Mus musculus: one gene and its partner. The protein of the gene in region 2 interacts with the protein of the main gene of each other region in a pairwise test. Links are inferred from orthologs where the notes say so. Each region holds a gene or a part of one and is shown on either strand. Other genes may lie near its edges.

Region 1 (4,609 bases), about 3.1 Mb from region 2:
GCTATGGTGAAGAGAAGGCAGAAAGGACTGAAGAGCCAGAGGATGGGGAAAACGCTGTGAGAGGCTGTCTTCAGGACACAACATGGCTGTAGCACACAGAAGTTGTGACTGCCGGCACAAAATCTAGCCACGTGACATTCCATCACAGATTGAGGGCTCATGAGGCTCCCTCCACCCCTAAGTGAGGAGCCATTGGCAGTCGCCGGCTTCTAGGGAAAGGGGGAATCATTTTTCTTCCTTCTGGAGTGTGTCCCCTTGGCAGGCCACCCATGCTCTGGTAGACAGCCCCATACTGATTTGCATGCAGGCATCCTTTACTGGACTCAATTGATTATGTAAAATTTTTAAAGAGAAAAGGAAAGAGAAGACATGAAGGTACAAGACTGTTAGATGTACGGGAGGTTATCTGAGGATAGAGGAGGGAGGATTTGGGTCAGTTATCAAGATACATTGTATCCGTGAATGAAATTGTCAATAAATAAGTAAGAATAATCAAGAAGAAGCAGTGGCTGAGGCAGCAGCAGCACAGAGGTGAAGTTGCAAAAGGATCCCGGCTACTAAGTGTCAGGGCCTCAATTAGAGAAGCCTTTGAACTTCAACCCCATCCTCTCTGCATCGCACTGCTCCAAAAGGACAGCGACCTCCCTGTGGTTTTAGAACACTACCATAAATATAGCACCAGCTAGCACCTCACTTGCATTAGCCCTGATTTACAGAGGCTAACCCTGCAGGGCTGAGAGGCAAAGGAACGTGTTCCGGTTCCCTAGAAAAATGCCTTGTTCTTGGAACTCAAAGCTCACTTAAGATTACTTTGTTGACAACCAACTACTGAAAAGAGCCAGGGAGTATCTTAGTCTCAAAATAGATTCCCTGACTAAGTAAAGGGAGCGGCCTCTGACTGCTGTTCAGCTCTGAACTCTTTTTGACAAGGGGCATCCCTGCCATCCAGGTTATCCCAACTACAAAAGAGCACCAAGTAAAGTTTGCCCCTCAGTTAACCAGGATGCCCTGAGGCTCAAATGTGAAAAAGCAACTTTGGGGCAGAGGCTGGCTCCCACAATAAGCAACTGTCTCTTCCTTCTCTCATTTCTCCATCTCCCAAACCTATTCTACAGCCCAGGACCCAGAGCATGCAAACAGGGTGAGGAAGATCTCATCCCTGCAAGGGAGGAGAAAGTAAAACAATTACAACACCAACATTTCTATTTCAAAACAAAAAAAGCCAAAAAAAAAAAAAACATTAAGTTATTAGCATAAGTCCTAGGCGCCATACAAAGGGCTCTCCTGCAGCTCACTTGCTTTTAGCTTGCATACCTACTCATTTTACAGATAACAAAACTTAAGCTTGGAGTTTAAAGGGTAACCAGTAAGCAGTAGGGCCAGGGCAAAGCCCCAGTGCTAATGCAGACTAATACTTCCCTACTGTAAGGAGCTCATTAATCACCTGGGAAGACTCGGTGAGACCTTCACCAGGTCTAGTCTGAGATCTGAGCTGATGCGCGCTTCTAGGCTAGCTAGGAGGCAGACTCCACTGTGAGTTTCCAGGGCTGCACTGTTATATCCCATTAAGTGGCAGCCTGTATCACCGGGTGGGTTCCTAAAGTTTCACACTCGCCCTGCTCCATAGAATGTGCTCAGTAACTTACTAAATGAATCTATACCTCCAAAAATTGATGCTTCAGCACTTCCCTATATCAATCCCATTATGTCATTCAACCTTCATAACAGACCTATAAGGAAGGAAGATTCTCCCTTGACCGACAAGGAAATAGGCTCAAAAGAGTAAGTGACCTAAGCTTTTCAGCTTTTGTGCGGCAGACGACCACAGCTGTCTCCGGGGGTACAAGACAAAATAATTACAGACCACTGAATGGGAAGAGGGGTGCCATCTCAGCACCTAACAGGCTCACCGCTCCGGAAGTCACCCGGAACTCTCAACTACTCCGGGGATGGAGTAGCCCTGCCCGGTGCTCCGGGAGGGAAATAGAAAGGAGAGGAGGCCGGTTTGGGGCACAGTGCCAGGCGGCAGAAGACAGCTGGTGAGGTGAGCCCCCTGACTTCTCCATTAGCCCCGCTGATTTCAAGTCCCCGAGTGGGTCCAGCTCTGGAGGAACCCTGTCCAGCTTTGGGGGAGAAGGGGTAAGAGGGTTACGGGCGTCCAGGGAAATCGCAGCTAGGTGATGAATCACCGAGCACATGACCCTGCAGGGGAGGGGAGGGTGCAAAGCTCCGCGGGATGAGGCGGGGGCTTGGGCGGAGGGAGGCCTAGCGCGCAGAGCACCCCTGCGGCCTGGGTTAGGGGAACTAGGAGAAGCCCCTCTCCCACGCCACTTATCCTGATGACCGATCCCCGCAGCCCGGGGCCCGCCTGATCCCCCAAGCGCCGCGGACTCACGGCCTTCAGCTGCTCCAGCCGGTCCTTCATCCTGGCCCAGGTGAGGGCGGCGGGCGCCTTGTCTCAGGTGAGCGCGTCCCAAGTGAGCGGCCTGGAGCGGCGGCGGCTGCCGGCCGGGGCGAGAGAGCTGCTAGAGCGGGCGGAGGCGGGCGGCGGCCGCTCTCGAGGAGGAGCGTCCGAGGCCACCGAGGTCCGCCGCGCCGCCCCCTCCGGCCCCCGCCGGCGCCGCGCTCCAAATCCGGCTACGAGACCGCGCCGGCTCAGGGCTCGCCCGCCCCTGGGCCCGCCCCATACCTGGGCCGCTCCCCGAGCTCCTGCTTAAAGGGCCAGCGCGCTCCAGCGCCGGAAGCATTCCGGGCACACCTTCCCATGCCCCTCGAAAGGCAGAAACAAAAAAAAAAAAAAAAAAAGGCGGGGGTGGTCTGTCTGGCTTCGATTCCGTATTTTCCGCACTGTTCTTATTGTTCGGCCCTCTGCGGACTCCTCAGGTTGAAGACAAGCTGGTTCCTGCTCCCTTTGATGAGGGAAAACGTTCCGATGATGCTCAAGAGATATTCCGCCTTAAAGAAGGGACCTGTTGGGTATAAAATCTGTGCGGTTCGGGCTCAGAGACTTGTTCCCGTAGGGCGTAACTGCAGATGAGATGCCCTGGATCGGGCTGCGGCGAGGAATTTGGGGATTATGATGCTAGTGGTTGTGGGGCCTCTCGAAGTCGTGTAGGCGGTCCAGTCACCTTTTACTAACAATTTGAATAACTTGAGGGAATCTAGGAGAGTCCGTTTCCATAGCTATATAAATCAGAGGCTGCTTAGCAATTTTCTGCTTAGCCTGTACGAGAAAAGAAGCAACTGACTTTTAACTACCGGGCAGAGTTGTAGGATAAAGACGTTTGTTTGATTTGGAAAACTTAAGCCCACCTCTCTCCTCCTTGCTGTCAAGAGCCCTGGGATTTGAAGAATTTTTAGAAAAGTGTGGTTCTTCTCACTGCCCTTCCTCTTCAACGGTGCCCCTATTCCCTTCCCCTCCGTATTTGATTTGGGGATAACAAATGGCGTATCGACCAGAGTAGTGGTCAACAATTGGCGCTAGTGAAGACTTGGTCTCAAGTTCGAGAAGTATCCTCGACTTTGTGTTCAATCTTAAAGGCCATAGATACTTTCTAATTATAACCGGACTTTACCCTCTGCGATGTGCACGCTCCTACTGACTTCCTCCGCTGCCATAAAGGTAGTCAAGTAAGGCAGGGCTTGAGCTGTTAGAGCCAACTATGCGGTAATCAACTCTAATCCTCTATCTGACCTCCGGCTCCTGTCCTGACGCTGGCCCAGCGAGGACTGCGAAAGTTTCCACGCCCCCTGGTGGTCGTAACCCTACAGCTAGGGCTTGAACACCCCCACCCCAGCCCAGCAAACACTTGGAAAACCTTCCGCCACCGAGCTCATTCTCTAGCATCAGCCCTTAGGTTTTCTCCTTTCAGACAGAATCTCCCTGAATTGCCCAGGCAAGCTTTGAACTTGCCATTCTCCTGTTTCAACCTCTCCAGTAAGAGGGGTTACAGTGAAAAACTCTCGAAGTGTGGACGTCTGAAATCTGGACAGAAGTGAGGAAGGAGGATGGATTCATTTTGAAGCAAGAACAAAGGATTCCAGTTAAGACGCGATTGATTTTAGGCTGCAAAAAACGGCCCTGCAGTAAAGAACACTGACTGGAGGACCTGGGTTCAATTCCCAGCATCCACATGGTGACACACAGTTCCAGGGGATGCAACGCCCTCTTCTGGGCTCTGCAGAGGTTACACACATGTGGTATACAGACATAATGCAGGCAAAAACATTCATACAAGTAAAAAAAAAATTTTTTTAAGTCCCAGCAAATTATTTTAAAGGATATAATTGATTTCAACAGGGAAAAAATTGTGACTCTCATGCAAATATAAAATGAATATATTTTAATGTTTTAGCTTATTAGTGAAGCAACCAGTAAGAGGTTAAACTCATTCAGATCCACAGACAAACAGCAGGAAGGCTGGCATGAATAGGTTACTTGATGCAAAACTAGCTCTGGGGATGGGAGAAGAAACCGTGCTTCTCCTGTACACTAAGTCCTTATAATCTCCATGAATAGAAGCACTCTGCTTACTACCGATATCTAATTTACATAGCTGGACAATAGCTGTGATACAATGAAAGTCACAGACTATTATAGAATCAGAAA
Region 2 (3,809 bases):
CTCTGCTAGGAATGAACAGAGCTAGAAAAGTCTAGTGTCACCTTCTGACCTGACTAGACGCGTACACCATTAGCTGGTTTCCTCTTGACTTCCCTGCCAGAGACAGCCAGAGACTCTTCACAGAGATGGTCTTCATGACTGAAGACTCCCTGCCTAATGCTTTTCTTCTGGTCTCTTACCAGGATATCAATAGCCTCAACAAACAAATTGCTCAGCTTCAAGATTTTGTGAGGGCCAAGGGCAGCCAGAGTGGCCGGCATCTGCAGACCCATTCTAACACCATTGTGGTTTCGTTGCAGGTGGGACCTTGGGGATGGAGGAGGGAGGAGAGGAATAACAAAATACATTCTTTGACCCAATTGTCCTTGCCTTTTAGTCAAAGCTGGCTTCTATGTCCAATGACTTCAAGTCAGTTCTAGAAGTGAGGACTGAGGTAAGTGGGATCAGTAGGTGGGTAAGGACCTATTGTAGGGTCCACAGACCCACTTTCCAGGGACTCAGGAGCCGTGTATTCCTCCCCAACATCAGAATCTGAAACAGCAGAGGAACCGTCGGGAACAGTTCTCCAGGGCACCAGTGTCAGCCCTGCCTCTTGCCCCCAACAACCTTGGTAAGTCAGTAGTAGCACTATGGGAAGCCTAGGGGCTAAGTTCTTCTGGGTTTGGTGGCATCCTTTAGACTTCAGAGTGTAAACACAGTAGAGTAGGAGAACGGAGCTGCCAGAATGGTGCTGTGCATTATCTCAGAGGACAAACTTGGTTTTGAAACTTTATGATCTACACTTAACCCTTGTGCCTTCTCATGGGAAACATGAGACATATCATGTAGACATATCAGAAAAATGACAGTGTCTGACTTTTTGTACTTAGTTACATTCTCTCTAATTTTCACAACCAGCCTTTGGAAAAGCAACTATTGTTAGCTCCATTTTGCAGATGAGGAAACTGAGACTCAGATCAAATAATCTATTCAGAGCTGGATTTAAATCTAGTGGGTTTTGAATGTGTTTTTATTTTTAAAGCTAGGGTCTCATGTAGCTTGGGCTGGCCTCTAGCTTGTTAGCTGAGGACTAAACTATCTCCACCTCCCTATGACTAGTATAACAGGCAAGCACCACCATGCTTTGCTTGAACCATGCCTATACATTCTCATGTATGCACTGTGTGTGTGTGTGTGTTTTGAGAGACAGACAGACAGTGGCAGTCAGACAGTGACAGTCAGGGTTTCTCTATGTTGTCTTGGCTGGCAGATCAGATTGGCCTCAGACTCATAGAGACCCCCTTGCCTCAACCTCAAGAATTCTGGCATTAAAGGCATGTGCTACCAATGCCAAGCCCTGAACCTGCTTTTAACCATTAAAATGTGCCATGTCCTATTTTCCTCCCAGGAGGTGGTCCCATAATTTTGGGAGCAGAGTCCCGAGCTTCCAGGGACGTGGCTATTGACATGATGGACCCTAGAACAAGCCAGCAGCTTCAGCTCATTGATGAGCAGGTACCCAGGCTCTGAAATCTGGAGAATCAGTTTCTCTATTGTCTTCTTTGTTCCCCTGAGTGTTTGGAATGTGTCATGGTGAAAAAGTCTTAAAAACCTAGGCCCTAGTTCATGGTGTTTTCTTCTTCTGAAGGATTCCTACATCCAGAGTCGGGCAGACACCATGCAGAACATTGAGTCTACAATCGTTGAGCTGGGCTCCATTTTTCAGCAATTGGCACACATGGTTAAAGAACAGGAGGAAACGATTCAGAGGTGAGACACTCTCACCCCATACAGTGCAGCCTTCTCTTCTCCATGGATTGATATCCTGAAGTCCCTAGGGACAACTTGGTGTTCTTTGGAAGAGTGGAGTGAATCCTGCCTACCCACTAGTCCTGTTCCCCTGCTTCTACTCATTCCATAAGAATTTATTTAGGGGCTGGTGTGGTGGTGTATGCACGCCTTTGATCCCAGCACTCTGGAGACACAAACAGGCAGAGCTCTATAAGTTTGAGGCCATCCTGCTCTACATAGTGAGTTCAAGGACAGCCGCTGAGGCTACAGAGAAGTCCTTTAAAAAAAAGAAAAGTAAAAGAAAATGCCTACCATGCATAAAGGTTTAGGATCTGTCCTCAGAATCATAGAGAAAACAACTGGTAGGGACAGCCAACTGGCTCATCCGGCAAAGGCATTTCCTGCACACGCCTAGTAACACGAGAATGGTAACTGCTGCCAGATAAAGGTGAAAGATTTCAGCGCCACAGGGTTGTCTTGTGATCACCACATCCATGCCTCCTACCCCATAATAATAAATAAAAATGTAAAAAAAAAAAAAATCAAACAGCTGAGAAGGGAGCACAGTGTGCTGACCTTAAAGTACAGCTACTCTCGAGGATTGTTTGAACCAAGGAGTTCAAGACAATGACATCAGACCACCATGATCTGCTATGTGGATGCTGGGAATTGAACTCAGAACTTAAGTGAGTGCTCTTAACCACTGAGCCATCTCTCCAGGCCCACAACCATATTTAACCCTAGTTTTAGGAGATCCAACGCAGGCATCAGGCATTTAAAAGTTGATTTAAAATGTCAGCAGCAGAAAATGTCAGTGGTACTGTTGTAGCAGCCTGAGAAATCTGTAGAGCCCGCGGGATGTGGGTGCTCGCTCCACAAGGCAGGGTGAAACAAAGCTGACTTTAGAGAGCAGAAAGACGGTGAACCTGAGAAGGGCAAGGACAGTTCTTATGAAGCTTGTCTGCTCATTATGTTGAAAACTCCTGAGGTGCTGGCTCAGCTGTTAAGAGCACTGGCTGCTCTTCTGAAGGACCCGGGTTCAATTCCCAGCACCCACATGGCAGCTCACAACTGTCTATAACTTCAGTTACAGGGGACCCAACATTCTCACACAGATGATAGCCATGCAGAGAAAACACCAGTGTACATGAAATGAAAATAAGTAAATCACTTAAAAAGCAAAAAAGAAAAAGAAAATTCCTGAGGTGTAGGCAGCTAAATGTGTATCAGAACGGGGTGCAGGAGTTTCCTGATGGATGCCCTTTTAATTTCCTGACTGTCCTGCAGGCCTTGCAGTGTCCTATAGCTTCAAGTTGTTTGCTGGCCTTGTTACTGCTCTTTCAAAACAGAAAAGCTTGGTTCTCCAGTGTTATTTGGAAAAACCAAATATGGGCTTCAGTGGCACTGCTTATATTACTTTGTATGGAATAACTTGAAAGAAGATGCTGTGTAACTTGTATCTCATTAGGAAGCATTTAATGTCAGATTGCATTTATATCAGGGAGGACAGATATCAGAAACAGTCTTCCACCCCATGATCAACTCCAGGACCTTGTACATGCTGGACAGTATTCTGCCATTAAGTTACACACTCAGTCATTGTTTTTAGCTTTTTTCCTCTTGAGTGAGAAACTCAAGGCAAAGCTCAGCAGATAAGTTTGCTTGCTATAAAGCCTTGATGGCCTGCATTTGGTCCCTGGAACCCACATTGTAAAAGAGAACCAGTTCCCACATGTGTCCTTTGACCTCCACATGAGGGCCATGGCACATGCATACTCATACATACACACAGACATACAAAATAAATATAAAAGAAAAATTCTTTTTTTTTTTTTGTTTTTTTTTTGTTTTTTGTTTTGTTTTAAAAGATTTATTTATTTATTTATTTATTTATTTATTATATGTAAGTACACTGACACTCCAGAAGAGGGAGTCAGATCTCATTACGGGTGGTTGTGAGCCACCACGTGGTTGCTGGGATTTGAACTCCTGACCTTTGGAAGAGCAGTCGGGTGCTCTTACCCACTGAGCCATCTCAC

Evidence for each region.
Region 1: the proteins of Stx5a (region 2) and Stx3 interact in binary tests that used the Homo sapiens proteins (3 or more experiments, as listed by UniProt). The link is inferred for Mus musculus from reciprocal best matches to the Homo sapiens genes STX5 and STX3.

The regions. Positions count from the first base shown.
Region 1 is NC_000085.6:11,816,297-11,820,905, forward strand, and holds the start of Stx3 (syntaxin-3), read right to left. Parts: upstream 3,108-4,609; 5' UTR 2,426-3,107; coding exon 2,396-2,425; exon of another isoform or gene 2,357-2,395; intron 2,045-2,356; exon of another isoform or gene 1-2,044. UniProt on the Homo sapiens protein: Potentially involved in docking of synaptic vesicles at presynaptic active zones. Apical receptor involved in membrane fusion of apical vesicles.
Region 2 is NC_000085.6:8,748,279-8,752,087, forward strand, and holds part of Stx5a (syntaxin-5), read left to right. Parts: intron 1-182; coding exon 183-299; intron 300-376; coding exon 377-433; intron 434-528; coding exon 529-610; intron 611-1,387; coding exon 1,388-1,494; intron 1,495-1,627; coding exon 1,628-1,749; intron 1,750-3,809. UniProt on the Homo sapiens protein: Mediates endoplasmic reticulum to Golgi transport.